2 linked regions of the Elephas maximus indicus genome follow. The protein of the gene in region 1 purifies or fractionates together with the protein of each later gene. This does not show direct contact. Links are inferred from orthologs where the notes say so. Each region holds a gene or a part of one and is shown in the gene's direction. Other genes may lie near its edges.

Region 1 (16,022 bases):
AAAGAAACTGTCAACAACACACAAAAGAAGACATCAAAATGACAGCACTAAACTCATACCTATCTATAATTACGCTGAATGTTAATGGACTAAATGCACCAATAAAGAGACAGAGAGTGGCAGAATGGATACAAAACCACGATCCATCTATATGCTGCCTACAAGAGACACACCTTAGACTCAGAGATGCAAACAAACTGAAACTGAAAGGACAGAAAAAAATATATCAAGCAAACAACAATCCAAACAGAGCAGGAGTGGCAATATTAATTTCTGACAAAATAGACTTTAAAGTTAATCCATCATAAAGGATAAGGAAGGACACTATATAATGATTAAAGGGACAATATACCAAGAAGATAGAACCATATTAAGTATTTATGCACCCAATGACAGGGCTGCAAGATACATAAAACAAACTCTATCAGCATTGAAAAGTAAGATAGACAGCTCCACAATAATAGTAGGAGGCTTCAACACACCACTTTCAGTGAAGGACAGGACAACCAGAAAGAAGCTCAATAAAGACACGGAAGATCTAAATGCCACAATCAACCAATCTGACCTTATATACAGAACACTCCACCCAACAGCAGCCAAGTATACTTTCTTTTCTAGTGCACATGGAGCATTCTCTAGAAGAGACCACATATTAGGTCATAAAGCAAGCCTTAGCAGAATCCAAAACACTGAAATATTACAAAGCATGTTCTCTGACCATAAGGCCATAAAAGTGAAAATCAATAACAGGAAAAGCAGGGAAAAGAAATCAAACACTTGGAAACTGAACAACACCCTGCTCAAAAAAGACTGGGTTCTAGAAGACATTAAGGATGGAATAAAAAAATTCACAGAATCCAATGAGAATGAAAACACTTCCTATCAGAACCTTTGGGACACAGCAAAAGCAGTACTCAGAGGTCAATTTATATCAAAAAATGCACACACACAAAAAGAAGAAAGGGCCAGAATCAAAGAATTATCCCTACAACTTGAACAAATAGAAAGAGAGCAACAAAAGAAACCCTCAGGCACCAGAAGAAAACAAATAATAAAAATTAGAGCTGAACTAAATGAAATAGGAAACAGGAAAACAACTGAAAGAGTTAAGAAGACTAAAAACTGGTTCTTAGAAAAAATTAACAAAATTGATAAACTACTGGCCAAACTGACAAAAGAAAAACAGGAGAGGAAGCAAATAACCCGAATAAGAAATGAGATGGGCGATATTACAACAGACTCCCAAACTCATTTTATGAACCCAGCATATCCCTGATACCAAAACCAAGTAAAGACATCACAAAAAAAAGAAAATTATAGACCTGTATCCCTTATGAACTTAGATGCAAAACTCCTCAACAAAATTCAAGCCCAATAGAATTCAACAACATATCAAAAAAATAATTCACCATGACCAAGTGGGTTTCATACCAGGTATGCAGGGTTGTTCAACATTAGAAAAACAATCAATATAATCCATCATATAAATAAAATAAAAGACAAGAACCACATGTTTATCAATCAATGCAGAGAAGGCCAATGAAACAAGACCCATACCTCACTCCATGCACAAAAAAACAAGCTCAAAATGGATCAAAGACCTAAATAGAAAATCTAAAACAATAAGGATCATGGAAGAAAAAATAGGAACAACATTAGGAGCCCTAAAAATGGCATAAACGGTATACAAAATATTACTAACAATGCAGAAGAATAGATAACTGGGAGCTCCTAAAAATCAAACACCTATGCTCATCCGCTATGAGTCAGAATTGACTCGATGGCAGTGGGTTGGGTTATGCTCATCCAAAGACTTCACCAAAAGAGTAAAAAGATGATCTACAGACTGGGAAAAAGTTTTTAGCTATGGCATTTCCGATCAGTGCCTGATCTCTAAGATCTACATGATACTGCAAAAATTCAACTACAAAAAAACAAATAACCCAATTAAAAAGTGGGCAAAGGATATGAACAGACACTTCACTAAAGAAGACATTCAGGCAGCTAACAGAAACATGAGGAAATACTCACGATCGTTAGGCATTAAAGAAATGCAAATCAAAATTACAACGAGGTTTCATCTCGCTCCAACAAGGCTGACATTAATCCAAAAAACACAAAATAATAAATGTTGGAGAGGTTGTGGAGAGACTGGAACACTTATACACTGCTGGTGGGAATGTCAAATGGTACAACCACTTTGGAAATCGATTTGGCGCTTCCTTAAAAAGCTGGAAATAGAACAACTACCATACAATTCAGCAATCCCACTCCTTGGAATATATCCTAGAGAAATATGAGCCTTTACACGAACAGATATATGCACACCATGTTTGTTTTTTTGTTCACTGCAACACTGTTTACAATAGCAAAAAGACGGAAGCAGCCAAGGTGCCCATCAACGGATGAATGGATAAATGAATTATGGTATATTCACATAACAGAGTACTATGCGTGGATAAAGAACAACGATGAATCCCTGAAACATTTCATAACGTGGAGAAACCCGGAAGGCACTGTGCTGAGTGAAATTAGTAAGCTGGGAAAGGACAAATATTGTGTAAGGCCACTATTATAAGAACTCCAGAAATAGTTTAAACTGAGAAGAGCATATTCTTTGATGGTCCCGAGAGAGGGGAGAGAGGGAAAAGGGAGGGAGGGGGCATTCACTAATTAGAGAGTAGATAAGAACTATTTCAGGTGAAGGGAAAGACAACACGCAGTACAGGAGAGGTCAGCACAACTGGACTAAACCAAAAGCAAAGAAGGTTCCTGAATAAACTGAACGCTTTGAAAGCCAGCGTATCATGGGCAAATGGTTTCAGAGGACATCTAAGTCAACTGGCATAATAAAATCTATTAAGAAAAAAAAAAGAATACTTTGATATGAAGTTAATAGCACCAGCTTCGAATATTCCCTTCTAGTACTTTACCATTCACAAAAATGTGGATTATATCTGCAGAAGGAATAAATAAATCTTTGTTCAGTAATTTCTGCTGTTGTTAAAAAACGACAAGGGATATGTTCACATGAAGGCTTTATCTGGGTGCCACTGTTTCAATACAAAAGACTAAACTAAGTGTGCACTGGCAGTTGCTACAACTTACTAACCGGTTATGTTCTGTAAATACACTCAAGTCAGTTATTGAATACTTGAAACGTATTTCCTCACAGGAGCTACAACAATTCACCAGCACGCACAGCAGTCTAGAACCTAATAACCACTTACAGAATAAACCACTGACAGAAGCTTCTACAGGAAAATTAACTCAAGTTAATTGAAATTCCTGATTGGGATATTGGGAACATGCCCCTTCTTTGTCTGATCCCTTGTTCTTGTCCTCCCCCTCCCCCTCTCACACACTCTGAGACTCTAGAAGAGTCTTCCCACCAAACAGGCAGTGTGGTCGGGACGTTCTAAGTCACAGGCAGTGGCTCCTGTAGCCTGAGGAAGACTTTTCTAAAAGCCCGATATGAAACCAGGGTGAAGCGACAAGCAGATAGGGCAGCAAAGGACACAGGGAAGGGCAGAAGAAGGAAAGCAAGGGCTGAGGATGGGAGGTGAGAGGAAGGGAGAAGGAACAGAAGATGTGCGCTCACGTGCACGCACGGGGGCAGGGGCTGTTGGGAAAATCCACAGTAAGAGGACTTTTTTCCTCCGCTTCTCACTGCCAGTTGTCGAGTTAAATGCAAAGGATGGTAAAGCTCCTTCTGTAACGAATTTACCTTGGTTGGGAAAAAGATAAAGCAGGAATAGCCCATGTGTGGGGAGACTCCCCTACCGATATGACCACGTTTTATCTTCCCTTAGAAAACAAAGTCACAGGCCACACTGATTTAATAAATGTGCCGGTCTAAAATGTACCAAAGATAATCTTGATATGGTCAGAGACATGTTCTGATTTCTAGTATTGCTTAATTTTATCTAAGATAAAATAAACCCCCATTCCTCTAACAGAGCCATAGGATAAATGAACCAAATAGTAATAAATCTCTGGTTTATTTTCTGATGTAACAGTCTTAGGAGAAAGAGTCTTAGGTTGGCGCTGACAGACAGGACCTGGGTGCAAGAGGGCAGAGAAGTGCTTTATGGCCTCAGCGATAACCGTAGGCTGGGGAGGCTGTGGTACCCATCTTGCTTGCTCTAAAGCCAATTTCGACTCAAGACTAAGCTAAGGACCCCAAAACAGGAGCTCAGTCCATCAAATCCTGACCTAAGAGGGGTTCCGCTGCTAGCTACATCCAACCTGAAGAAGAATGCCCTCATCAAAAGATTCTGACACCATGAGTACCAGATGCTACAATTAGCTCTGCTGTCATCCAGGGATGTTGCAGCCATTGCTGCGACCACTGTACACTAAGAACACAACCACGACTGCTGCCGGCACGGCAGGGGGACAGATTTCAGCACAACTTCCAGCCTAAAACAGACTTGGAGGAAAAGCCTGGCAATCTATGTCTAAAAATTAGTCAATGAAAACCTTATGGATCATAACAGATCACTGTCTGACTCGATTGCTTTGATGTCTCATAACGAGGATTAACCATGGGAGGAGGATATCACATTTAGTGAAGTAGAGGGTGGGTGAGGGAGACCCTTGGTGAGATGGACTGGCATGGCAACCACAATGACAGACTCGACCATGACAGTGATGGTAAGGATGGTGCAGGACCAGGCAACATTTCATTCTGTTGTACATAAGGTCGCCATGATTGGTGTCGATTTGATGGCAGCTACCTCTCTGATAACCCAAAGCTCACTAAATTGATAAGGACAAAGCCTCGGTAATTTACATTTAAAAAGCAGGAATAAAAACAACTGAAATGACAGTCCGCTCAACTGATAATGAATTAATAATAAAGCACCCTTCCCCCAATTTTCAGAAATTCTGCCTGTAAATGTACATAGTAGGATACATGGAATATCGTGCATTATCCACATTTCTTAGAATACTAATTTCAGCCTGTGAATACCAACTCTTAGAAATGCTTAATAATTCCCTTTGTAAGTCACAAGATATAGCACTCAGTCATATGTAAAAATGAGTCTACTGATCTTCATTTGTTAACTGCTGATCAAATAAGATGTGTGTGTGTGCACGTGTGTTAGAGAGAGAGAGAGACAGGGATTTTTAAATACTTCATAAACAGTATTCCTCGGACTACATTCTGGAAAACAAAAAGTTGGAACTTGTAGCCTTCTGACTATGACCTTTGGCTCACAAAACATAAAACATTGTTAATAGGTAAAAAACGAAATGATTCAATATTTAAAATACTATATAGTCTAATGAAACTATTTCTGCAGTTTAATTTTCTAACAGCTTTCAAAGGTACAGCATGGTGAGGTGAAAAAGAACAAGAGTTTTGTACTTATCTTGGACAAGTTATCTTTCTGAGTCTGAGATTCATCTGTACAATACTCCCCAGGGCACTGCTGGGAGAACTGAACATAAACACTAAGGATCGAGGGCTGACATCTGGTTTCCAGCTGAACAGTCAGTAGCCATCCACTTATTCCTTACTGACCTAAAGTATTCCTATTTCAACTGTTCTTTAAGAGAAAATTTAGTTGTTATTTCTACCACAACTGCAAATTTTCAGAAATTAAATAATTCTAGATTTCTCATTTCTTCAGTGCCCCATCCTGATCCCGGCTGTACAAACACTGTCCTGCTGTCAGCATGGGACAAGGCCAGCTGTGTATCAGACAGCACAAGACCCACAACTCACACTGGGGAATAAGGGAGAAAAGCCTATCAGGATGGAGAGGGAAAGACTGTGTAGTGTTTAAAAAACATGTTTAATATTACAATTTAATATTTCAGGGGAAAGACTTATAGCTTTGGTAATCGAAAGCAAAGCTAAACATTTTCTTGGCTAGAGAAGATGGATAAAGATACTGAGACTCAAGCAAAGGAACAGTCCATTGGGGCGTTGTGACGTTTTTATATTGATAAAAAGGAGGTAAATGCCAAAAGAGAAAAAAAGTGTGAGAAACTCTTATCTAGTCAACCTACTAAAAATGTTTACAGGTTAAAGAACAAGCAAAACAAGAAAAGAAAATCAAAAAAGGAGTTCCAAAGAAGTTAATAGACATGTCCAAGTCGGCTCAGAGGGGACTTACAGGCAGATCCTTCTGACTCACGGTCCAATTCTCAGTACATTACACACTGGCTGCGGATAATCAAGAATTAACTGTATCAGCTGCAAAATATGCTTTTCCTACACAATAAAAATTCCTCAAGTGCAGTGGAACAAGTTTCTCATTAGTACCTGCACCCCCTTCCCACGCCGATAAACCGAGGCTAGGTGAAGTAAGGTACCTGTCCGTGACGATGAAGCCTGCAGCACTGAACTTGAACTCAGGGCACCCAAAGCTCCTCCTTCCACCCTAGGAAGCCCGCCCCCGCCCGGTCGCCTAGGAAACGGCTCGGGGAGCCCGTTTGCGGGGACGGGGGAGACCAAGCCTTCCCGAGTTTAAGCTGCGTGGCATCCCGCACGCAGCAAGGAGTTACGGAGACCCACTCAATCTTCACAGCGCTGGCGCAAGATTATTCTTCGGCACCCTTCATGAAAACCTGGGCTCAACTGAACATATCAAAAAATAATTTCACCTTAGCATTTTTAGAAACGAGCCATTTTCAGTGCTTGGAAAACCAGGGGATCGTCCCCTCAAGTGGCCAAAATGCCCATGACGAGAGCTCGCCGGTAAGACAGCCAGCTATGCGGTCAAGGCCAACAGGGCGACCCTGCAGCCTTCCTCTGGTTCCCACCAGCCGCCGAAGCCCTCGGCCACCCCGGCCCGCTCCCGCCGCCTCTCCCGAGGCTCCCGCCACCTGGGGGCGCCACTTCCCTCTCACGCGCTCCCGCCGCCTCTCCCGAGGCTCCCGCCACCTGGGGGCGCCACTTCCCTCTCACGCGCTCCCGCCGCCTCTCCCGAGGCTCCCGCCACCTGGGGGCGCCACTTCCCTCTCACGCGCTCCCGCCGCCTCTCCCGAGGCTCCCGCCACCTGGGGGCGCCACTTCCCTCTCACGCGCTCCCGCCGCCTCTCCCGAGGCTCCCGCCACCTGGGGGCGCCACTTCCCTCTCACGCGCTCCCGCCGCCTCTCCCGAGGCTCCCGCCACCTGGGGGCGCCACTTCCCTCTCACGCGCTCCCGCCGCCTCTCCCGAGGCTCCCGCCACCTGGGGGCGCCACTTCCCTCTCACGCGCTCCCGCCGCCTCTCCCGAGGCTCCCGCCACCTGGGGGCGCCACTGCCCTCTCACGCGCTCCCGCCGCCTCTCCCGAGGCTCCCGCCACCTGGGGGCGCCACTTCCCTCTCACGCGCTCCCGCCGCCTCTCCCGAGGCTCCCGCCACCTGGGGGCGCCACTGCCCTCTCACGCGCTCCCGCCGCCTCTCCCGAGGCTCCCGCCACCTGGGGGCGCCACTTCCCTCTCACGCGCTCCCGCCGCCTCTCCCGAGGCTCCCGCCACCTGGGGGCGCCACTTCCCTCTCACGCGCTCCCGCCGCCTCTCCCGAGGCTCCCGCCACCTGGGGGCGCCACTGCCCTCTCACGCGCTCCCGCCGCCTCTCCCGAGGCTCCCGCCACCTGGGGGCGCCACTGCCCTCTCACGCGCTCCCGCCGCCTCTCCCGAGGCTCCCGCCACCTGGGGGCGCCACTTCCCTCTCATGCGTTCAGCCGGCTCCCCCTCTCCTTCCCATACCTTTGTCCAGTTCCATAAGGGCGGAGTTCGCATCTAGCTCCTGTTCGCCATAGCCGGCATCTGCCAGGAAAGACTTAGTTGAGTTTGACGCCATGACCTGAATAGTTACTTGACTAGCCTATTCAGAAAGGCCGCAAACCCTGCCCCAACCCCGCCATCTTCCTTCACCGCCTTCTCGCGGATTTTCCCTCCGCGCGCTGGCAAGCCGTGTTACGCATGCGCCCTGGCCATCCCCCGGTTCGCCAGCGCCTCTTCGACCCCCCGCGCAGGCGCTCAAGGGGCTCTTGAATTCTGGGTTCCCGCGGACCGGCGAAGAGGAGGCGGGGCTCCGGAGGGGGAAGTGACTCTGCGGCGCCATGACGCCACGGCGGGAGCCAATCAGAGAGCGTGACGTCAGTTTGGCGCGGAGTTTGGTGGCTGGAGCCTGCAGTGGCGGGAGTGGAAGGCAGCGCCTGGTCTTGTTCTTGGGGTGCAGGCTGCGGTTTCTGCGGGACCTAGGGCATTTCAGAGCCTTTTCTTCAACTGCGCGTCTTCCTCTGGCCCAGATGCTCTTCAGTTTGGTGCTCCGCCAGCCCCAGCTTGGCGTCCCGAGAAATGGTGAGTAACGGTCCTAACCGCCGCTCGTGGCTGGGGGTCACCTCCCCGAAACACGACACCCGGGCCCGGCGAGTGTCCCGCGGCGCCAGCAGAGCCTTCGCGCGGGCTGCTGAGGAAAGGTGCTTTCAGCGCCTCGGGGCGGGCCGGAGGGGCGGGGAGCTAACTGACTGACCCCCGGGGCGCTTTACGGCCTCGCGCCTGTGGCGCGCGTTAACTGAGGTGCTGGCGTTGGACAACGTGCGCGGCGCCCCCCACAGCTGTGTGCAGCGTTAACTGAGGTGCTGGCGTTGGACAACGTGCGCGGCGCCCCCCACAGCTGTGTGCAGCGTTAACTGAGGTGCTGGCGTTGGACAACGTGCGCGGCGCCCCCCACAGCTGTGTGCAGCGTTAACTGAGGTGCTGGCGTTGGACAACGTGCGCGGCGCCCCCCACAGCTGTGTGCAGCGTTAACTGAGGTGCTGGCGTTGGACAACGTGCGCGGCGCCCCCCACAGCTGTGTGCAGCGTTAACTGAGGTGCTGGCGTTGGACAACGTGCGCGGCGCGTGTGCGTTAACTCATCCATTGGTCCTAGAACCGATGTCTAGATGATCCACGAATGAGTGGGACGCGCTGCTAAGGAACTTGCTCAAGCAGAAAAGTTAGACCATGTGCTTCTAGAAGGTCAAAAGTTGTCTTTTTTTTTTTTTTTCCTGATTATTACATGTTCATAAAAACTCGAAATTATAGAATGAAAGATCTCCGTAATCAGAACATCCCCCAGAGAGGACCACTGTTGATGGTTGAAGTATAGTATTTTGGGTGTTTTTTTATGCCAGTGGTAATATGTATTGTTATTTACGGAAATGAGATAAAAATGTTTTGTTTTTCATTTTAACGGTATAACTTGGATGTCTTTCCATATTATGTAGAAATCCAACTTATTCTCTACAGCTCTTTCGATTCCTTATAAAACATTGTCAGCAAGAGTTTTGAACTTGGAGTTCGGTGTCTAAAACTTTCTGTATGAAACTTAAACTGATAAGGGAGTTGCTACCTAGGCTAGACTTAGACAAATTAAATGTCACATATTTTAATGTTGACTACACTGGAAGGTCTTCCTTCCCCTTGAAACTCTGTGGAAAACGAAAAGGAAAGAACCTGAGAAGGGAACTTTCTGTATTTAAGAGGAAGGTCTAGGAAAAGGATGTTGGGAGGGAGACTGAGGAGCAGCCCCTCAGCTTCCCGCTACCAGTCTAACACTACATACCATCCCTACTAACTTCCCTCTTAAATATTTTTTTTTGGCTGTTTTCTAAATTCCCTGCTTACTATCTCTCCTAGGACCTTACATGAGAAATTTCTCTGACCTCTGTGTCACGATCGGTAGGTAGGGCAGCACAGTGATGAAGAGCTCTGTCTTTGGAGTTAGACTGAGTTTTAATTCCAGCTCCTCTCCTTGCTATCTGTGTGACCTGAGGCAAGCCCCTCTATCTTGCCACAAATATTCTCCTAATTCTCCAGTCTATCTGTCTACTTCTTCCTCTCCCTTTCTTTCTCCAATTCACAAGAATTCATTCATTGCTACCTGTTAACCACCAGTTGCTGGCTGAATGGTCGATTCTGCCTCATGGCAACCCCATGTGTGTCAGAATAGAACTGTGCTCCATAGGGTTTTAACGGCTGCTTTTTTGAAAGTAGATCGCCAGGCCTTTTTTCAAAAGCACCTCTGGGTGGGCTCGAACCACCAGCCTTTTGATTAGCAGCCAAGCGCGTTAACTGCACCACCCAGGGACTCCTGCTATACGTTAAACACTGAAATTTACAGGACTGTCTTGTTTTCCTTACCCCTTCAGTGTTAGTGTTCCATCCTTGGCTCGTTTTCTTCTTCCACTTACTCTATTAGATGCTCAGTGTCATAACCAGGGCCTCTTCCACTGCTACAGTTTCCCTCCCCTATGCTTTAGACCCATTCCTATAAAAGCTGTGTGGACATCTTCACCCAGATATTTGGTTCCATGATCATCTCAAACTCAGATGCCCAAAACTGAACTGTTTTCCCCAAAACCTGCTGTATTACCTAATTTAGGGATTGGGCTCATTATTTTAAACCAGTCTTCCTAGCCAGAAACTTTGAAATCATCCAAGACTCCTCTATCTTTACTATATACATTCAAAAAGATTCTGTGAAGCCTCTGGACTCTGTCCTGTCTTCTCTATCACCATCGATTCTGCCTCTTCGCTCCATCTTAGACCTGTTCTTTCCTTACCACGGTATTTCCCTGAGTTGGGCCCTAATACCGTCTTATCTGGACTCTTACGTCTCCCAAGTGGCCTTTTAGTTTCCCCCCTCCAGTTTATTCTCCAGATTGCTGCCAGAAATATTTTCAAGAATGGAAATCTGATCACTCCTGTGCATTTTTAAATTGGTATCAAAATTTTTTATCTTAAGTTTAAACAGATACAAAAAATATAAATTTTGATATTGTGAATACTGACATTTAAAATTAAAATGTTATATCCCTTTTTAAATGTATCTGTTGTTGTTAGGAGCCTTTAAGTCGGTTCTGACCTGTAACGACCCTATGAACAACAGGGGACTGCCTGTAGAATGCATTCATACATTACTTATGTAATTAAAAACAAGTTCTAAGAGACAGAATGCAGAAATAACACACATACTTTTAAAAAACAATATCATAAGCAATGATAGAGGAAATTTTGCCTGAGGCATTTTGGGGGAACACTACTGTTCTACTAAAGGCCCCCATCCTACTCAGGGGGTTCAGGGAAGAGGTCCTGAAAGACAGGGAATCAGATGGGGGAACCAGTCCAGGTAAAACGTCACTTCTGTGAAGATCCCTGTAATACACCCATCAAGGAGTAATTTTCAAAAAAGTTAAAAACAGGGTTCTTAATGCAAAATATAGGAGACACATGTCAAGAATTTTATTCTATTCATCAGTTTACCAAGGAACCCGTAAGCTAGAAAGACTTACGAGGAAGGGGATTTATGTAGTCACGTAGCCAAAGGAGTACTGAAATGCATGTGCTTATAGAGAATTTAATTCAAGAGTGTTTTCTTTAAGTTGTGTGCTTTTACTGAACTGGTCTTTAAGTGCATGTACAGGTAAGCCCTGGCTGCCTCTGCATCTCAGCCAACTCCCAGGGAGACCAGAAGCCTTCAGACATTTAAAGTTGGGGGACTCAAGAGGCCACAATGGCTGACCACTCAAAATAAAACAAAATAAAAAAGCAAGTGTCTTAGTCATCTTGTGCCGCCATAACAAATATGACAAGTGGATGGCTTTAACAAAGAGAGATTTATTTCCTCACAGTTTAGTAGGTTACAAGTCCAAATCAGGGCATTGGCTCCAGGGGCTTTCTCTCTCTATTGGCTCTGCAGGAAGGTCCTTGTCTTCAATCCTCCCCTGATCGAGGAGCTTCTCAGGCGCAGGGAGCCCGTGTCCAAAGGATGTCCTCTGCTCCTGGTGCTGCTTTCTTGGTGGCATGAGGTCCCCAGCTTTGTGCTTGCTTCCCTTTCCTTTTATCTCTTGAGAGATAAAAGGTGGTACAGGCCCCACCCCAGGGAAACTCCCTTTACCTTGGATCAGGAAGGTGACCTGAGTAAGGGTGGTGTTATAATCCCACGCTAATCCTCTCAACATAAAATTACAATCAAAAAATGGAGGACAACCACACAGTACTGGGAGTCATGGCCTAGCCCAGTTGACACACATGTTTTTGGGGGACGTGTTTCAATCCATGACAGCCAGTACTGAGGTGTGTTCTGTGTTAGTTGCTGGGGAGTCGGCTCTGACTCTCGTACCAACCCTACGCGTAACAGAATGAAACGCTGCCCGATCCAGCACCATCCTCACAATCGCCGTTATGCTTGAGTGCGTCGTTGCAGCCACTGTGCCAGTCCATCTCATGGAGGATCTCCCTTTTTTTCACTGACCCTCTACTTTACCACGAATGATGTCCTTCTCCAGAGAGTGGTTCCCCCGATTATGTGTCTAAAGTACAAGAGATGAAGTCTTCATGCTCACTTCTGAGGAGCATCCTTGCTGTACTTCTCCCAAGACAGATTGGTTTTGTTCGTCTGGAGGTCCGTGGTATATTCAATATTCGCCAACACCATAATTCAAAGGCATCAATTCTTCAGTCTTCCTTATTCATTGCCCAGCTTTTTCATGCGTATGAGATGGTTGAAAATACCATGGCTTGGGTCTTCAAAGTGACATCTTTGTTTTGTAACACTTTAAAGAAGTGTTTTGTACCAGATTTGCCCAGTGCAATCCAATGTATCGACTAGGTTATAAAAACTACGATGATTTGTGGATTACATTCTTCACTTTTTAAAAATATGAACAAAATCTTCTTTAACTGCTTTACATATTACATAGTTACTTTTCCCCCTTTAACTTTTTTGCATTTTATTTCCCTCACAGAATTTATCCCAATATAATTTAACTTTATGTCCGAAAAGTTCTTTTATTAATCACTTATTATACTACTCTGTGTCAAAAATATTTTTACATTGATGATTTCTTTGTCATAGGGCTCCAGTTGTTAGAAGTTTCTTCTGGACTGAGTTATTACTATGATTATTAGTAGTACACAATTGATCAAAACGGTGTAGATTACTTATTTTGATAAATAATTGTTAAGCAAAAAATCAAATTTCATTGGTAGTACATCTTTTGAAGAGATGGATCTGGGTGAGTGTTTATGAGGTCTTTAACAAAGGAACTATCCAATCGTCTTCTAGTTACAGTCCTAGAAGCATTTGTACCTTGGTCAATGCAAGGTATAAAAGTCGGGGAGTGGAAATGCCTTTCTTTTAGAAAGTATAGAAAGGCAGTGATGATGAGGGAGGGGGAAAGGAAAGCCTCGACCTTCTCAGATCAGTTTTAGAAATATATATATGGAAGTTGAAGATCTGACAGTTGGTTCTCTGAAAATTCTGCCCTTGTGTAGTTCTTGAGAAATTTACATGTAACCCTAGGGGCTAATTGTTCATTGAGGAAAGAATAGGTTTTTCCAAATGGCTGTTATGTGGAAAAGCATCCCAGGTGCATGTTCAGAAGTAGAAAACAGCGTAGCACAATAAGGACCCAAAAGTGACTGATAACATGGAGTGTGTTGTGGGGAGTGCAGAAATGGAGTAGGCGGGAACCAGTCACCAAGTACGTTAGGCTATATACAAGGGTGTTTGAATACCAGTCTGTAGACAATGAGGCAGAATTGAGAGGTCACTGCATAATTGTAAAGAATTAGGTTTTCCAGAGTATATCACTTTCAATTCTACCTAAATTGTTTGAGATTCAACCCTTTTTAATTCATATGTAGTTGTCCCTAGATTTTTTTATAATACATTTTATTTTTTGTTGTTGTAGAGAATATACATAGCAGAACATATACCAATCCAACAGTTTCCACATGTACAACTCAGTGTTATTGATTACATTCTTCAAGTTGTGCAGCTATTCTTACCCTCCTTTTCCAAATTGTTCCTCCCCCATTAGAATAAACTCTCTGGCCCCTAAGTATCCTATCTAATCTTTCCAGAGTTGCTGCTGTCAATTTAATCCCACCCTGGTGGCGTAGTGGTTAAGTGCTACAGCTGCTAACCAAAGGGTCAGCAGTTGGAATCTGCCAGGTGCTCCTTGGAAACTCTGTGGGGCAGTTCTACTCTGTCCTGTAGGGTCACTATGAGTCGGAATGGTAGTGGGTTTGGTTTTTTTTTTTTTTTTTTTTCAGATCTTAAAAGAGCACAATGTTCAAGGCAGTCTTTACTAATTAGCCAAACTGTTTGGTTTAAAGACTTCACGGGTCGATTTTGTTGTTGTTGTTTAAGTTTTAAAGATTATTTCAAGGCAATAGTTTTGGGGATTCATCCAAACTCAATGGCTCCAGAATAGATTCTGGTTTTTAATCCTAAACCACAAGTATATAGTTACGTAACATTAGAACAGAAGCATTTGTTTTTAAAACTCATTCTGTAGACGGGTATTTGTGAACTCTACAACATAACCACTTATTGTGTTGCTGTTTTTTCTGGTCTTTAAAGGCTTGTTTACAACGATGTCTGACCTGAAAATTGTGGTGGATACTCCCAGGAATAATTACTAAATCTGGGTCCAATTTCTTTGCCTCCTTTTCATTGACCCCTCCCAGTTATCTCTATGACCATCCAAGGTTAGTGTGGCTGAGAATATGTCAGGCTAAGGTGGCTTCTCCAAACAGTACTTTTAGTGAAAAGCAAGAATTGAAAGCATGAGAGAGTTTGTGAGAACTAGAATATAAATTCCTCTTTTAGAGCAATCATTCTCAGGGAAAAGCTTGACCTATTTGGGCACATACAGTAGTTTTCTTTCTCCTGCCCCACAGATTGTTGTTCTCTATCTCTAGCACGTCCATCGTTCTGTATTTTTGTTATTTAGACAGCTCTCAGTAGATTGTCAGTCATTGCTTCCTTCTATACTTATGAAATTTGGTTCTCAGTAAGCCCTTGTTGAATGAATGTTTCCTTTATATATTTAAGATGTATTGACCCACACATCATTAAAATAAAAACAAGTCCCTGAACAAGGCTTACTGTTTAGGACCACACTGCACATTGGGTCTCTGACCAAAGCAGAATGAACTTTCCCTCCACGTTGAATTTATTGCTGTGTCTTCTGCATTCAGTGAAAACTTACTCATCTTTCATGACCTTTGTTTATTTTCACCTCCTCTAAAGAATTTTCCTACCCTACTAGCCAAAGCTAACTGATGATTCTTCTAGGACTAAGTACATAACACTTTACTTTAAAATTGCTCTAATTTACCTTAAGATACTAGGACTTGTTGGTGTTAACATTTTAGAATTCTAGAATTTCAGGACTGGAAAGGAAAGAGGAAGCAGTATTAGTGTTCTCTTGGTAACTATGTTACTGGGATAGTAGGCACATTGGTGTATATCATCTCTTAACTCTTTTGACCACTGGATTATGTATGATGTTGCTAGTAATTAAGAGTATGTAGTAGCATTTTTTTTAATTTATGGAGCCCTGGTGGCACAGTGGTTAAGTGCTCAGCTGCTAACCAAAAGATCAGTGGTTGAAACCCACCAGCTGCTGCAAAGGAGAAAAGACCTGGTGATCTGCTCCTATAAAGATTATGGCCTAGGAAACCAGATGGGGACAGTTCTCCTCTGTCCAGTAGTCAGAATTGACTTGATGGTACACAGCAAGTAGTGTTGATTTAGAGACTCCAAAAACAATATTTCAATTGAAGGGAATGGCAGTTTTAACGGTAATGCTTTTGTGGTGATATCTTGGCAGGGGAGGGAGAATCTTTTTTAATGTGCAGAGTCCATTAGTGTCTTGTGAGAGTCTGTCTCCATTTAAGATGGTAAGCCCAAAGCTCTACTTCGCTAGTAGTTGGAAGTACTCTTCTACTTCTTCCTTAGACCCTTTAAGAAAATACTAGAAACTGTGCGTTCTAGAGGACCATGGTTAGTGAGTGGACCCATACTGACTATATAAAGCCCTTTAAGAACAAATACCTCTGCATTTGTTAAAAGTATCGAAATGTGATGATATATTGGAATTCCATAAGGAATTGTGTCTTGTTTTAGGGTGGTCTTCGCAATACCCTCTACAGTCCCTTCTAACTGCTTACCAATGCAGCTATGGTGATGAACACACTTCTTATGGAGAAACAGGCGTCCCAGTCCCTCCTTTTGGATG
Region 2 (16,792 bases), on another chromosome or scaffold:
TACTGCAAAGGGAAGCCAAATTATTACTGGAATGGAACAAAAAGTACCAATTATCTCAGTGAAACCTATGAATTAGGGTAGAAGGAGCAGAAGTAAATATATTCTAAATGTTTTAATTGGGGGTGAAGAGTTCGAAGTAGAAATATTTTAAATGTCTCATTTATTGAGATGGAATAAAGAAATGGTGAGGGAGTAAAGTGTTCAGAAGGGAGGAAATAATTGATCACTTATTCCCATGTAACAGAGGAAAGTGTTTAATAATGAATGTTAGAAAAAGAAAGGTGATCAATATTTAAGTAGAACACTAGTTAAAGTGAAAAGAAAAGTATACAGAGGAGTGACAGGACTCAGGAATGACTTAGGAATAAAAATATCACTTTAGAAATGAAGACTAAACTAGAAGGAAACCAAGGGTGAATAAGATAATATCTTAGATGAAATAGGAGGGAAAAAGTAGAAATTTTTTAAAATCAAAAAGAAATAAAAGAATGTTGAGGACAAGTGACTAATATTGAAGTTAGGCAAAGAAGATCTAACATATAGATAACAGTAATCTCTGATGAAGAAAACCAAAGGAATAGAATACATATGAAAAATTATAAAGAAAATGTTATTGAAAACATTGAAGCTACATACTGTAAAAGAACACTAAACTATATACTTGAGAATATTGACCCAGAATGACCAACATCAACTTGAGAATATTGACCCAGAATGACCAGCATCAACACATAGTCTAGTAAAATTATTGGACTTTAAAGAAAAAGAATCTTTTGAGCATCTTGGCCAGAAGAGTGAATGACTTATAAGGGAAAAAAATTAGACTATCATCAGATATTTTTCAGCAATGCTTCATGCCACAAGAAATTGCAGTAACAAACTTGATTCTCAAAAAAAATGAATCGAGAGTTATTACATGTAACAAGACTGATTTTCTAACATAAAAGTCACAATCTGTTACCAACATACATGTACGCAGAGAATATTATTTCCATGACCTTCCTGAGAAAATGTATAAAGAACTAGCTTCAGACAACGAAAACTACTACAGAGATATCAGTATAAGAACTAATTGTTATTGTTGTTGTTAGATGTTGTTGAGTCAGTTCCAACTTATAGTGACCCTATAGGACAGAGCAGAACTGCCCAATAGGATTTCCAAGGAGTGGCTGGTGGATTTGAACTGCTGACCTTTCGGTTGGCAGCCAAGCTCTTAACCACTATGCTACCAGGGCTCCATAAGAACTAATGGTGATAAAGGGACAACATACCAGGAGGATATAACCATATTAAATAATTACGCACCTCATGACGGGGCTTCAAGATAACATAAAACAAACTCTAACAGCATTGAAAAGTGAGATAGACAGCTCCACAATAACAGTGGGAGACTTCCAGACACCACTTTCGGTGAAGGACTGAACATCCAGAAAGAAGCTCGATAAAGACACAGAAGGTCTAAATGCCACAATCAACCAACTTGACCTCATAGACATATACAGAACACACCATCCAACAGTAGCCAAGTATACTTTTTTTTCTAGCGCACATGAAACATTCTCTAGAATAGACCACATATTAAGTCATGAAGCAAGCCTTAACAGAATCCAAAAACATCGAAATATTACAAAGAACTAATGGTGAGCATTAAATATTACTTGTAGAACTAAAACTAAATGAGAACCAAAAGGGAGAAAGTATAGCTTGTAAGGGCTATATGTGCTGACAATATATAGAACAATTATAAAAAACGAGGGACAGTGGGGAGAGGAAATGCAGAAAAATATTCCCCTGTTTTCATTAATCATATCAGGGTGTTAGTATGGTTATTCTGAGGCTGTTGTGTGTGTCATGTGGGATGAAGAAAATGAGTAATTCGGGATACTGTCATTCTATCATCCCCTATGTACCTGTGAACCAGAATTCTGAATGAGGAAATACATAGATAAAGATGTAATATAGAAAATGTTAAGTAAAACCACTCTAGTCCTAAACTGGAATTGGAATGATCAGTATGAACTCATGAAGTATTTGATCCTTAAAATATGTATATATTTTCTGGCTCTCTCCTTTGAAGAGGCCCCAGTATGACTAATACGGTAGGAATGTACATGACTATCACTCAGATTATGGTCTTTAAATATCATTCCTCACTACAAGGAACTAGAGCTTCTCGGAGAAATGGCTTATTTGTTGTCTAGTTCAGAAAACACTCAAGATGAACCCACAGCCAATTGCCACCTAGCTCTAGCAACATAGAGTGTGTTAGTTTCCTTGGTTGCTGTAACAAAGTACCAAAACTGGGTGGCTTAAAACAGAAATTTATTCTCTCAGAGATCTGGAGGATAGAAGTCCAAAATCAGCAGGGTTATGCTCTCGCTGAAGGCTCTTGGAGAGAGAGAAATCCTTGCTTGCCTATTCTACCTTCTCGTGGCCCCAGATATTCCTTGGCTTATGGCCGCGTTGACGCCAATCTCTGCTTTCATCTTTACATGGCCAGCTTTACATCTGTCTCTGCATCTGTGGCTCTTCTCCCTTTATAAGGACACAAGTCCTATTGGATTAGTGTCCGCCCTACTCCAGTACAACTTCGTGTTAACCGGTTACATCTACAAACACCCTATTTTCAAGTAAGGTCACGTTCACATGGTGAGGGCAGCTAGGACTTCTATATATATTTTTTGGAGATAAAATTCAACTCATAACTTGAAGAAAAATGTAGAGTAAGGATTTGTTGACAATGAAACAGCAGAATATGTACAATCACCCATGCTCTTCTTCCCGCACAGGGATATATTTGGGCTGGGCATAGGGGACAAAAGTGGAAGATGCTCCAGCAAAAGACCACATGATGACTTCTTATGGGGAAGTTGTGAGGAGGCAGGCGCCATCTAGTTGAGTACGTAACAGCAGGAAAATCCCTAGTCAGGGAAATGGCCTTATTAGACCAGAGTTTAGGTGTTGTTGGGTGCCATCAAGTCAATTCTGACTCACAGCGTCCCCATGTGACAGAGTAGAGCTGACCCATAGGGTTTTCTAGGCTGTAATCTTCACAGAAGCAGATCACAAGGTCTTCCTCCAGGGCAGCCACTAGGTGGGTGTGAACTGCCCACCTTTCAATTAGTAGCCTTTGTGCCACCAGGGGTCCTTAGAATTTAGCTAAAGGAGTTAATATACCAATGGGGTTGGCATCTGCTGGAACAATGCTTCTTAAACAAAATTACTTGGGGATTTTTTTAACATACAGATTTTGATCCAGTAGGTCTGGGCTGGGGCCAAAGGTTTTGCATAGTAAAAATTAGCTAGAATTTGTGCATTTTCTTTAAATTTATTCAGATGTGCCTAGATAAGTCCTTGTTAAATAACTCAAAGGAGGGAGATAATAATCCTCCACTGCCTTCAGGTTTGTTTTTCCTCACTGCTATAACTAAAACCTAAAAATATGTGGTATTCTCTTAGAGGTTGGGCAGCGGGAATGAGCAGGCTAGAAAGAGGAAGCCTTGTTAAAATTGCTGCCTACGAAAACTAGGAGGGCAGAAAGCCTTCCTCTTTAGCTTGTAGCACTAGTGCAATTATCTGGAAAGAGCTAGTTTGTATGTGTGACTGCTTTTTGCTGCTTTTAGCAAGGTATTATAAGTCAAGTTTGAAGTCAGGGTGAGATGGAAATAAAATATCCAGAAAATCTAGGGCTTCACCAAATTGAAAAAGCCACCTGCTTGTACAATCTTTTTTTTTTTTTTTTAAATTTTGTTGTGCTTTAGGTGAAAGTTTACAGCTCAAGTTAATTTCTCATTCAAAAATTTATACATCTATTGTTTTGTGAAATTGGTTGCAATCCCTACAATAATGACAGCACGTTCCCCTTTTCCATCCCGGGTTGCCTGTGTCCATTTGTCCAGTTCCTGTCCCTTCCTGCCTTCTCCTCTTGCTTTTGGGCAGGAGCTGCCCATTTGGTCTTGTGTATTTGATTGAACTAAGAAGTACATTCCTCATGTGTGTTATTTTTTATTTAATCTTTTGTCTAATCTTTGTCTGAAAAGTGGGCTTTGGGAATGGTTTCAGTTCTGGGTTAGCAGAGTGTCTGGGGGCCACGGTCTTGGGGGTTCCTCCAGTCTCTGTCAGACCAGTTAGTCTCGTCTTTTTTCGTGAATTAGAATTCTGCTCCACATTTTTCTCCCATTCTCTCTGGAACTCTCTGTTGTGATCCCTGTCAGAGCAGTCATTGGTAGTAGCCAGGCACCATCTAGTTTCTCTGGTCTCAGCCTGGTGGAGTCTCTGGTTCATGTGGTCCCTTAGTCCTTTGGGTTAATATTTGCCTTGTGTCTTTGGTTTTCCTCATTCTCCTTTGCTCTGGACTTAATGAGACCAATAGATGTATCTTAGATGGTCACTTGCAAGCTCTTAAGACCCAAACGCTACTCACCAAAGTGGGATGTAGAACATCTTTATGAACTATGTTATGCCAATTGATCTAGGTATCTCCTAAGACTATGGTCCCCAACCCCCGACCCCAGCTACTTGGTCCCTCAAAGTATTAGGATATGTCCAGGAAACTTCTATACTTTTGCTTTGGTCCAGTTGTGCTGACTTCCCTACATTGCATGTTGTCCTTCCCTTCACTGAGGTTGACACTTGTCTATTATCTAGTTAGTGGTTTCCCTTCCACATCCTCTCCACCCCTGTAACCATCAAAGAATGTTTTTTTCTGTGTGTAAACCTTTTCTTGAGCTCTTATAATAGTGGCCTCATACAATATTTGACTGACTTTTTTCAGTCAGCATAAGCCTCTCCAGATTCATCTGTGTTGTGAGATGTTCCCCAGATTCATTGTTGTTCTTTACCATTGCATAACATTTCATGTATGTGTATGTACCAAATTTATTTATCCATTCATCTGTTGATGGGCATTCAGGTTGTTTTCATCTTTTTGCTATTGTGAATAGTGCTGCAATGAACATTGGTATGCGTATGTCTATTCACACTGTGGCTCTTATTTCTCTAGAGTATATTCCTAGGAGTGGGATTGCTGGATCGTATGGGAAAAATTTTTGACTACGACATATCTGACAAGGGTCTAATCTCTAAAATCTACAAAATGCTTCAAAGGTTATGAACAGACACTCACCAAAGAAGACATTCAGGTAGCCAACAGATACATGAGGAAACGCTCGTGATCATTAATCATTAAACCAAAAAACCAAACCCATTGCCATCGAGTCGATTCTGATTCATAGAGGCCCTAAAAGACAGAGTAGAACTGCCCCATAGAGTTTCCAAGGAGCACTTGGTGAATTTGAACTACTGACCTTTTGGTTAGCAGCTGTAGCTCTTAACCATTATGCACCAGGGTTTCCCAGTAGCCATTAGAGAGATGCAAATCAAAACTACAATGAGATACCATCTCACCCCAACAATACTGGCAATAATACAAAAAATAAAATAAATAAATGTTGGTGAGGTTTCAGGGAAATTGAAACTTTTTTTTCCCCCAAAAATTCTATAATCTGTGTTGTCTAGTAAAATAGCCACTAATCACATGTGGCTGTAAACACTTGAAATGTGGCTAGTATGACTGAGGAAGTACATTTTTTAAATTGTACTTTAGATGAAGGTTTACAGAACAAACCAGCCTCTCATTAAACAACTAGTACACATATTGCTCTGTGACATTGGTTGCCAACCCCACGACATGTCAACACTCTCCCCCTCTCAACCTTGGGCTTCCCAATCCCAGCTTTCCTGTCCCCACCTGCCCCTGCCCCTAGGCTGATGTCCCCCTTCAGTCTCTCTTTTTTTTTTTTTATTTTTTATTGTGCTTTGAATGAAAGTTTACGAATCAAGTCAGTCCCTCATATAAAAACTTATACACAATTTGCTATCTTCTTCTAGTGAGACAGCACACTCCTCCTCTCCACCCTGTATTCCCCATGTCCATTCAACCAGCTCTTGTCCCACTCTGGCTTCTCATCTCGCCTCCAGACAGGAGCTGCTCACATAGACTCATGTGTCTACTTGAGCCAAAAACCTCACTCCTTACCAGTATCATTTTCTGTTTTATAGTCCAGTTCAATCCCTGTCTGAAGAGTTGGCTTTGGGAATGGTTCCAATCTTGGGCTAACAGAGGGTCTGGGGACCGTGACCTCCGGGGTCCCTCTAGTCTCATTCAGACCATTAAGTCTAGTCTTTTAATGAGAATTTGAGATCTGTATCCCGCTGTTCCCCTGCTCCATCAGGGATTCACTGTTGTGTTCCCTGTCATGACAGTCACCCATTGTAGCCAGGCACCATCTAGTTCTTCTGGTCTCAGGCTGGTGTAGTCTCTGGTTTATGTGGCTCTTTCTGTCTCTTAGGGTCATCTTTACCTTACGTCTTTGGTGTTCTTCATTCTCTTTTGCTCCAGGTGAGTTGAGACCAATTGATGCATCTTAAATGGCTGCTTGCTAGTGTTTAAGACCCCAGATGCCATTCACCAAAGTGGGATGCAGAACGTTTTCTTAATACATTGAGAAAGTACATTTTAATTTTAATTAAAATTAAATGATCATGTGCCTAGTGGCTACTGTACTGAATGGCACAGCTATGGAAACTTGGTTTTAGGTATTGTTTGGGTGTGTCTGTTTGGGTTTTGCCCTAATTCCTAGGGTATAGCCTTTCGTCCTGGAATGTGGTCCTTACTGCAGCCTTGGCTGCTGATCTTGGTATTCATCGATCTTTGAAGCCTATGAGCAAAAGCCCTGCTCTCTGGCCTGCAGATCTTGGGTTTGCCAGCCTCTGCTGCTTTGTGAATCAGGAGAAGCCTCTATGATAATCCACAGACTTGGGACATTCTAGCCTCTACATCTGTGTGAGCTATTTCCTTGATATAAATCTCTCTCTCTCTCTCTTTTTTTTTTATATATATTTATACACTTTACTGGTTTTGCTTCTCTAGGGAACCCGGCCTAAGACATTTACAAATTTGAATGCCCTTTATTTCTTTTTCTTGCCTATTGCTCTAGCTGGAAACCCTGGTGGTGTAGTGGTTAAGTGTTACGGCTGCTAACCAAAAGGTCAACAGTTTGAGTCCACCAGGCGCTCCTTGGAAACTCTCTAGGGCAGTTCTACTCTGTCCTATAGGGTCGCTACGAGTCAGAATTGACTCAACAGCAATGGGGTTTTTTTATTGCTCTGGCTAGGACTTCTAGCACAATGTTGATAAGAGTGGTGATAAAGGGAATGCTTGTCTGGTTCCCATTCTCAAGGGGAATGCTTTCAGTCTCTCTCCCTTTAGAATGATGTTGGCTGTTGGTTTTGTATAAATGCCCTTTACTATATCATGGAATTTCCCTTCTATTCCGATTTTGCTGAGAGTTTTTGTCAGGAATGGGTACTAGACTTTGTCAAATGCCTTTTCTGTGTCGATTCATAAGATCATGTGGTTCTTTTCTTTTGTTTTATTTATGTGATGGATTATGATGATTGATTTTCTAATGTTGAACCATCCCTGCATACCTGGTATGAATCCCACTTGGTCTTGATGTATTTTTTTTTTTTTTTGATGTGTTGGACTCTACTGGCTAGAATTTTGTTAAGAGTTTTTGCACCTATGTTCATGAGGGTTATGCCTGACTTTGGTATCAGGTTATGCTGGCTTCATAGAATGAGTTCAGGAGTATTCCTTCCTTTTCTACACTCTGAAATAGCTTGAGTAGTACTGGTGTTAGCTCTTCTCTGAAAGTTTGGTAGAATTCTCCAGTGAAGCCATCTGGACCAGGGCTTTTTTTGGGGGGGGGAGGGGGAGTTTATTAAACTACTTCTTCAATCTCTTCGTTATGACTCTGTTTAATTTTTCTACCTCATTTGTGTTAGTTAGGTAGGTAGTGTGTTTCTAGAAATTTGTCCATTTCCTCAGGGTTTTCAAATTTGTTGGAGTACAGTTTTTCATAGTATTCTGTTATGATCCGTTTTATTTCAGTTGAGTCTGTTTATGCAGTCTTAAGCAGCAGGAGAGAAGGCTTAGTTTAAACCATTTCTCATGGCCCATTAAGACTTCTGTAACCACAAACAAAAAATAATAGAAAACAAAGATAAGCAAGCTTGCAGCAAAAATAAAATTAATAAAGTTCTCAGAAGCCTCTCGTTTTAGATGGTTCAAGGTTTCCTCCATTAAAACGAGAGCAATAAGGATAGGTTGAGCTATGGAAGCAAGGAAATTCCACAGGTTGAAGAACTATACCTAGAAAGAACTTCAGTGTGGTTACTGGCACATGAAACTATCTGGAAGCAAACAGTCAGATCATACTACATGTTCAATGGAATAGTATTAAAACACAACAAAAAATGGACAAGCCTGGCTTACAACATTCCTCAGTTGATCAAGTTCTAAGGCATCACCCAAAGAGGGCATACTCTGCAACATACAGCTAACTTGTAAAAGGAAAGCAAAGCTTGAGCCCACAGAATAAAATGGGCAATGGAGATCTTCAGAGAGCAAAACCAGGGACTAACCAAAGAATTTATTCCACTACCAGGGCACTGTTGTTGTTAGGTGCCATCAAGTTGATTTCGACTCATAGCAACGCCGTATGACAGAGTAGAGCTGCTGGGTAGGGTTTTCTAGGCTGTAATCTTTATGGTAACAGGTTAGTATTCTACCACTGCTATGGACCAGTAACTACCATGTTTCTCATTCAGTAACTGTGGTTATCCTCTTCCTACCCCACTATTGTATTATATTGTGTTGTATGTGTGTGGGCATGGGGCAGACAGCTTTTTTTTTTTTTTTAGTGTACAAGTCTCTAGACCATGAAAAAGTCATAACACAACTTCATAGAAAGGATTGTGCATCACCAGATATCCTAGATTTTAAGCTGGATATAGAAACCGAATAGGAAATTGAGCATCTTTCCTTAGTCAGGGAGAATAAGGATGTTCTGCTGTGAGAAGGATATACACAGATACTTGTCAGAGGGAAGATTGTGGTAGAGACTGCAGATCGTCCATCCAAATTCACTCATTCTTTCCTTCTTGGGCACAAGGCTGCCCAATTGGAAGCTAAATTTCCAGTTTTACTGTTGCTTGGCATAGTGATGTGACTAAATTCTTGCCAACAGAATGTGACCTGAATTGGTATGTGCAGTCTCCCCATTACTTGCTTAAAAGGAAATCCTTGTTTCGGTCAAGCAATGCATTGCATTGGGCAAATCTGCTGCAAGAGACCTGTTTAAAGGGTTAAAAAGCAAAGATGTCACCTTGAGGACTAAGGTGCGCCTAACCCAATCCGTGGTACTTTTCAGTCGCCTCATACGCGTGTGAAAACTGGACAATGAATAAGGAAGTCTGATGAAGGATTGATGCCTTTGAATTATGGTGTTGGCAAAGAATATTGCATATACCATGGACTGACAGAAGAACAAATAAATCTGTCTTGGAGGAAGTACCATCAGAATGCTCCTTAAAAAGGAGGATGGCAAGACTTGGTATTACGTACTTTAGACATGTTATTAGGAGGGACCAGTCCCTGGAGAAAGACATCATATTCGGTAAAGTAAAGGGTCAGCGAAAAATACGAAGACCCTCGACAAAATGCACTGACACACTGGCTACAATAATGGGCTCAAACAGCAGCGATTCTGAGGATGGCGCAGGACTGGGCAGTGTTCTGGTATACATAGGTCGGTATGAGTCGAATTGACTCCAGGGCGCCTAACAGCAACAAAAGTAGCAGTCTGCGATGAATTTTAAACAAAAATAACTCGTTCTTTACCAGAAGTGGTTTAAGAATCGCTGCCTTAAAGACCAAGGAACAGTAAATCACAGATACAAAGACACAAAATTTAGCGATGCGGGCACTCGGTGAGTTGCACAAGCGGCACACTCCTTTGGAGTTCATCAGCCAATCCGAAGTCGAGGAGGACGGCGTCGCCCGGGTCTGTGGGCGAGGCCTGGGCGGGTCCCTACCGTGAGGCTTGGAGTTTCGCTTTACTCAACTCTGAGGGCTAAGCTAGCGCAGGCTGCCGCACACATTCACTTCCGGCGCTCTGGCCGACTCGCGCGCTACTCTGTGGCCTCTCGGGTTCCCTCTAGCTGCATTCTGGAGGACCGCGCTCGGTTTCTTTTTGGCGGCGGGAGGCCCCGCAGCCGCGGCTGAGCTGGAGGAAAGATGGCGGCAGCGGTGCGGCAGGATTTGGCCCAGCTCATGAATTCGAGTGGCTCTCATAAAGATCTGGCGGGCAAGTGAGTGTTTCCCAGGGGCACGGGAGTAGAGGTGGCAAGGGAAGCCACACGACTTGTTGTCCTTGTACTGACGGCGGCTCTTGAGTGTCAGGCTAGGAGCCGGCCTGAAGACCGAGGGGGCGGGCCTGAGGTCGGTTAGAGAGGCAAATGTTGGGAGCAGCAGAAAGCTGGAGGGGACCTTGTGCAGGAGCCCTCGGGGCCGTAGTCCTGGGGTGATTGTCAATTTATTCAGTCCTTGATAGCACCGTTACAGGCCTCTTGGAATCCTGGAAGCCTGGTCTGCAGAACGGTTACTTCCAAGGCCTTCTCAGCCTCTTCTTTTCGCTGGCCGGCCTCTCACACCGAATTCTGGCTTCTCTTTGGAACTCCCCCCACCCCCCCTTTTTTTTAAATTGAGGAAAATTCGTATTTTGGAGCCTTGCTTAAGAATTTCTCGGGGAAATAGCTTCTTCGGGTTGACTGAGGCTGAGGAGGTATGGCCGCTATCATGTCGCCCAAAATCACTCGGAACATCTGTGAGTTCTTGTATTTTTGGTGCTCTCTCTGCCACCAGCTCTGAAGAAGAGGGAATATATTTCTGTCACATAGGCGGAGTGCCCTCATAACGTGGGTCTGGATGTCTAGTGTAGTGATATTTGCAGGAATCTGGATTGTTAGAATTCTGTCGGAATTTGTGTAGAAGGCTTTGGTCCACTCCAAGTTAGAATATAAAAATTGTGACAGGTGTTTGCCCCTCACTGCCCTACAGTCAGTTGTTAAACAGTATACATATATCTACTCATTCCCTGTTTCCCTTGTGGATTTCACAGTACTGCTCTTCTGTAATAAACACGCATTCTGTAAGAAGTATGCCTCTCAAGTTGACCCTAAAATTTACATTCTGACAACTGAGATCACTTCGATTTATATTAATGATATACACCTGCCCTAACCTGGATATTGAGATCTTTTTTATGTACCTAGTCTGTGCTGCCTTTCCTCTGGTGGTAAATACCTGCTTTTATCAGTAGAAACTTAGCTGTGTATCTTGGGCTTAACTACTTTGTGCCCCTATTTTCCCATCAGGGAAATGGAGATAATTATAGGACTTATTCATAGGATTGTTGGAGGATAAAGTGAGTGTGTGTGTATCACTTAAAATCAGTACCTGACAGAAAGCGCCATAAGATTAGTACTATTATTAATTAAGCAATCAGTACATACATACTGACTTACTCTGTAGGTTGGAAATATGTTGAATATTGTCTTCATGGCTCAATCCTTTTCGAACGTAATTTTTATAGATTCAGATAAAAGTAAAACTAGCTTATATTTTTCTCCATGCTTGCTTGGTTTTTATTTTGTTGAAGAAAAATATGTGCACTAGTTATCAAAAGAGATACTGCTTTTCAAAAATTTGCAGATTTCTTGAATTAAGCATTTACTTCCAAAGCTTTGAAATGGAGGTAACAACAGTACTGATCTCATTAGGGTACTTCAGTTATTTATTGCTTTGTAGCAAGCCAAAATGTACTAGTATAAGGCAACTATTTAATATTTCTCAGGATTCTGTGGGCTGAATAAGTGTTCTGGTCTCTGCTGGACTCATATAGATGCAGTCAGTTGGCAGCTCAGCTGGGGCTTGGAGGGTCTAAAATGGACTGATATCTGGCTGTTGACTGGGTCATTGTGTGTGTGTCTCTCTCTTTTCTTCTTCTCCTCTTTACATGTTCTGTCCTTTAGTGATTTAACTGAGACTTTCTTACACGGCCAAGGTAGCATTCCTAGAGGATGAGTGGAAGCTGCAAGATCTTAAGGCTAGCCTTGGAAGTTTTACATCAGTTCTCCAGTAGTGGTCAAAGTAAGTCACAAGACCAGCCTAGATTCAAGAGGAGGAGAAATGGAGTCTGCCTCTTCTGGTAGGAGCAGCAGGGTTACTTTGCAAAAGAGCATGAACAGAAGGAGACGTTTTGAAGGCCATTACTGTAACAATTTACCATGTGGGGTTATTGTGCAGATTAAATAAAATAATGCATATAGAGCTTTTAGCCCTTTCGTTGTTGTTATTTGCTGCCAGTCACATAAGTGCTTGGTAACTGGTAGTGCACTGCTAGCTAGCAACTCCTTCAGAGTTTCTTTATTTTCAGCAGGTACATATTCTGTCCACCTTCCAGCAGGAATGAAATGTCTTCCTATTTGAGCAAGAATGTGTCAAGATCTTTATCTTTGTAACAGAACAGTTTTGTGGGATACATGCTTTATGAGAGAAACACTTTTGAAATAGAACAGTTGTTTTAGGGTTTATGCTAGGAGCTAGACAGCAAAGGATTCTGTATTAGTGAATAATAGAGTAAGTTGGTTTTCTACTTCTCTGCTGGGTTCAATAATTCATTGCAGTGGCTATATAGAACTCACAGACCATACTTACAATTAATGGGGCTTGTTAGGGAAGTGACATGTTACAGTTCAGGATCAGGATAAACTTAGAGGTAACAGGAGCATTGCTCCAGCCGGGCCCTGTTTGGCTTCTTTTTGGCTGTGCCTGCAGGCAGGCCTCTGGCCATCTCCAGTGTTACGCTGTCTGTCTCCTGGGGCTAGGAGGTTCTCAGTGCAGGGACCCAGTTCCAAAGGACATGCTCTGCTCCTAGCTCTTCATCTTGATGGTAGTGAGGTCCCCCTCAACCTCTGGGATTGGTTCTTTTTAAGCCTAGAGGGATGACAAAACTGACCAATCCCCTTGGTGAGTGGCAGGCACCTTATTTGCATATGAAGCCAATCCCAGCAAGAGTTTTACATACCTTATTTGCATAGCTCCACCCAGTCATTTTGGGGGAGTTATAAGACCATGGCCAGAAAGGCCGTACAAAAAGAGAAACTCATTGCCCTGCAGAAAGAATTTGAGTATTTTTAAAAGGGAGTTATATTAGGTTGAACCATATGAATATTAGGATTTTTTCCATAGTTCAACCTAATAGAATATAGAAAACTTATTTACCTAAGGTAATACACTAATGTTGTTTAGAAAAGTAGAATTCATAGATAAGATTAAGTATGGTTTCCAAAAACCAAACCCAGTGCTGTTGAATCAATTCTGACTCATAGTGACCCTATAGGACAGAATAGAACTGCCACCCAGAGTTTTCCAAGGAGTGCATGGCAGATTTGAACTGCCGACCCTTTGGTTAGCAGCCGTAGCACTTAACCACTACGCCACCAGGGTTTCCTAAGTATGGTTTATTCACCCTTTTTTTCCCCCTAAATTTTATTGTGGTCAAATATACATAACATAAAATTTGCAATTTTAAACATTTTTAAGTGTACAATTCAGTGGCATTAATTAAATTCACAATGTTTTCATTTATTTACCTTTTGATGATTATCTTATTATTTTTTTAAACCATAGTTTTCTAGAATTAACTTTCATGACTTTTTTTTTTGTTTTAATGGTAGGGAATTTTGTCATTGCTGCAGCCTCAGATTCAGATTCACTTCTCTCTTGGTAGGCTGCTTTAGTTGGTAGAAAGCAAATTGCCTACTATTGCTTAAAGAGGCACACTTCATTTATAGCTTATGGTAGCCACTAGGGAACCCTGGTGGCACAGTGATTTAAGAGCCCGGCTGCTAACCAAAAGGTCAGCAGCTCGAATCTACCAGCTGCTCCTTAGAAACCCTATGGAGTGGTTCTGCTCTGTCCTAAGGGGTCACTGTGAGTTGGAATCTACTCGATGGCAGTGGGTTTGGTTTGGTAGCTACTAGGAAATGATCTCTGATCCTCTTACTTACTTTGAACCGTGCAAGCAGAGTCTCTGCAGAGCACAGGCTGGCCATCAAGTGAACCCTGTGGAAAACCCCACTCTTCAGGCTTAATTTAATTTTCCTGCTTCCCTATTCTCCCAGATTGCTAAGGACAAGTAACCAAGATTAATTATTAGCCCTACGCAAGTGCTTTACCTGAAGAGGAATGGGATAGTAGAAAACCAGAATTCTTTACATAGCAGTCCTCTTATGTAGGAAGCTCTAGCCACTTTAGAAGGAGAGATCTGTTATCTTTATTAATTTTTAATAAATTGGAGTCAGCGAGGAATGGGACTGGTGGTGGAGCTAGTGTTTGGAAACCAATATATTTCCACTGGGGAGAAGATGGTAGCTGGAAATTAGCTCCAGTGTGTGTCTTTTTTTCACTCTTTGCCATACTTCTGGAAGTATCTGTAAGACATAGAGAAGCTAGAGGCATGTAATATTCTCCGGCCACTTTTCCTTTTCCACTTGGAATATTCTTACCTAAGGAGAATTGCTGGGTGAAAAAAGGCTGTAAAGTTTTTAAAGGCTTGTGCAGTGCAATGAATTGCTTAATATGGCCCTTTTAGCCATAGTATTTGTAACTCCCACCAAGTGACTGGGTGGGACTATGCAATTGAGGTGTTCGTGGCCCACCACTGGGATTGGATAGCTATCTAATAATGTAAATAAGGTGCATGGCACCCTTGTGGGGGTGGGTCCATGCCAACGAGGTATTTGGAACCCTATCAAGGGGATTGGCCAGTTTTGCCATCCTGCTAGGCTTAAAATGAGCCATTCCAGAAGTGGGAAGAGAGGATCTCAACACCACCAAGAAGGAAGAGCCAGGGGTGGAGTATGTCCTTTGAACCCAGAACCTTATGTTGATAACCTCCTAGATCCAGAAGGCAGAGAGAAGAGCTGTAACACAGAAGACAGCAAGAGATGGCATCATGAGATGGCAGGAATCAGGAGATCAGCACCAGACAGCTGTGGTGGGGCTTCCTGGCACACAGAGTGTGAAAATCGAGTGCCTTCAGGTTTGCGGCTTAGTGGTAGAGTGGGATGCCTTGGGGCACTTATTGGCAGAGCCAAAAGACTGTTGTAACACTTGCTTGAGCAGGACAGAGGCCGGGCCGAGGGGCCAGAAAGAGGTGTGCCTGAGGGCACGGCTGAGAACATGCTGTCCTGATTGAAGAAGTGTATCCTGAGCATTCTTGAACCTGAATTATAACCTGTTCCTGCCCCAGTAAACTCCATAATCGTGAGTGTGGTATGTGAGTCTTGTGTGGCCATTGTAGCAAATTATTGAACACGGTAAAGAATTAGAGAGTGCCATCGGAGGGATGGTTGGTGTCAGAATTGGTAAAAAAGATTGGAGATTGGAGGCATGCCTGATCTCTACCACTTAAGAATCATCTTTGGGCTATTGCTGGTGATTCTCTCCTTCCTTGTGAAGTTAGAGGAAGTCAGATGCACCCACCACACCACTTTTGTAGCTTGGTATGTATTGCCGTATTGCATGTCTTGTGTCATCACACTGTAGCCAGTATCAAGTCTTATTTAAAAAGGAAGAAAAAAAGCTTTGTCATTATGGAAGGCAATGAATAAATAAACAAGGATATCTTATTCCTAAATAAATAATTTTTAAAACTAAATTACTCCTTCCTGTGGTATAGGAGTAGAGTTCCTTGAGAAAAGAACTTTGTTTAAACAATAAACATTGAAGTATGAAAATAAACTGTTTTCTGTAGTTACTATAGGAAATCAAATATATTGTGCTATTAGCAAACTGGTAGGAAATTCCACTAGCTTTTAAAAAGTAGAGGTAACTGAAAATAGGTAATGTACTTTGGTGAAGCATTAAGAAATAAAATACTAAGACGGTTGATTATTTGCGTATTTATTAAAATTCTTAAGGTTTACATTTAGATCTGACCGGTTAAGATAATATAGATATAAGAAAACATAGGTAGGTCAGGATGATGTCATATAATGTATGTGTAGAAGTTTCTGGTAATTTCTTGTAGTTATCATCGGCTGAATCATTGCTCCTGAATAGAATCTTAAAATACTTGAAAGAGCCTTTCGAAGCCTGCCTTAAAACATCAGGAGAGGAGAAGAGCCTTGAGAGGGAGGATTTGTGTAGATAGCTGTAGTGATAGCCTGTCTATTTACCTGGTGAAAACCTACTTGGTTCTTCAGAACTTCAGTTCAGATATTTGTTTTTCCAGAAAGCCTTCTCTGAATAACCTCCAGTACACACCCACCAACACAAGACCTGATTAGTTTGTACTTCTCATGCCAATGACGGCCTGTATTTACCTCTGTCATAGCACTTAATTGTTAACTTGTCACCTCCAACTAGAATGTGATCTCTCTGAGGACAGGTACTGACTAGGTCATGGATAATAGGTCTTTGATGAGTTAATCTTATGAAAATATAACCTTTTTTTTCCTTTATCTTTCAGTTCTAGGGTATGGAGGGTACCAAGAGGAGGGAGGCCCTTAGAGTCTTGACAAGACTCTGTTATCCTGGAGAAAAGAGAGTGATAGATTCCTCTTAGCTGCCTTTGAATATCAGAAAAGCTGTTTTGCAGAAAAGGAAATAGACTCTTCTCTGTTCCACACAGAAAGATTTTGGATTGTTGTTGTTGTTGATAGGTGCCATCAGGTTGGTTCCAACTTATAGCAACCCTGTGTACAACAGAACGAAACACTGCCCACTCCTGTGCCATCCTCACAATTGGTGGAACGTTTGAGCTCATTGTTGCAGCCACTGTGTCAATCCATCCCATTGAGGGTCTTCCTCTTTTTTGAT

What was found.
Region 2: the proteins of DTL (region 1) and COPS4 purify together in Homo sapiens (affinity purification with mass spectrometry; 3 studies listed by BioGRID). This does not show direct contact. The link is inferred for Elephas maximus indicus from reciprocal best matches to the Homo sapiens genes DTL and COPS4.

What each region holds. Positions count from the first base shown.
Region 1 is NC_064842.1:633,442-649,463, forward strand, and holds the start of DTL (denticleless protein homolog), read left to right. Parts: upstream 1-8,133; 5' UTR 8,134-8,254; coding exon 8,255-8,306; intron 8,307-15,910; coding exon 15,911-16,022. Other genes in the region: INTS7 (integrator complex subunit 7), read right to left, coding at 7,710-7,803. UniProt on the Homo sapiens protein: Substrate-specific adapter of a DCX (DDB1-CUL4-X-box) E3 ubiquitin-protein ligase complex required for cell cycle control, DNA damage response and translesion DNA synthesis.
Region 2 is NC_064823.1:73,286,433-73,303,224, reverse strand, and holds the start of COPS4 (COP9 signalosome complex subunit 4), read left to right. Parts: upstream 1-10,010; 5' UTR 10,011-10,141; coding exon 10,142-10,215; intron 10,216-16,792. UniProt on the Homo sapiens protein: Component of the COP9 signalosome complex (CSN), a complex involved in various cellular and developmental processes.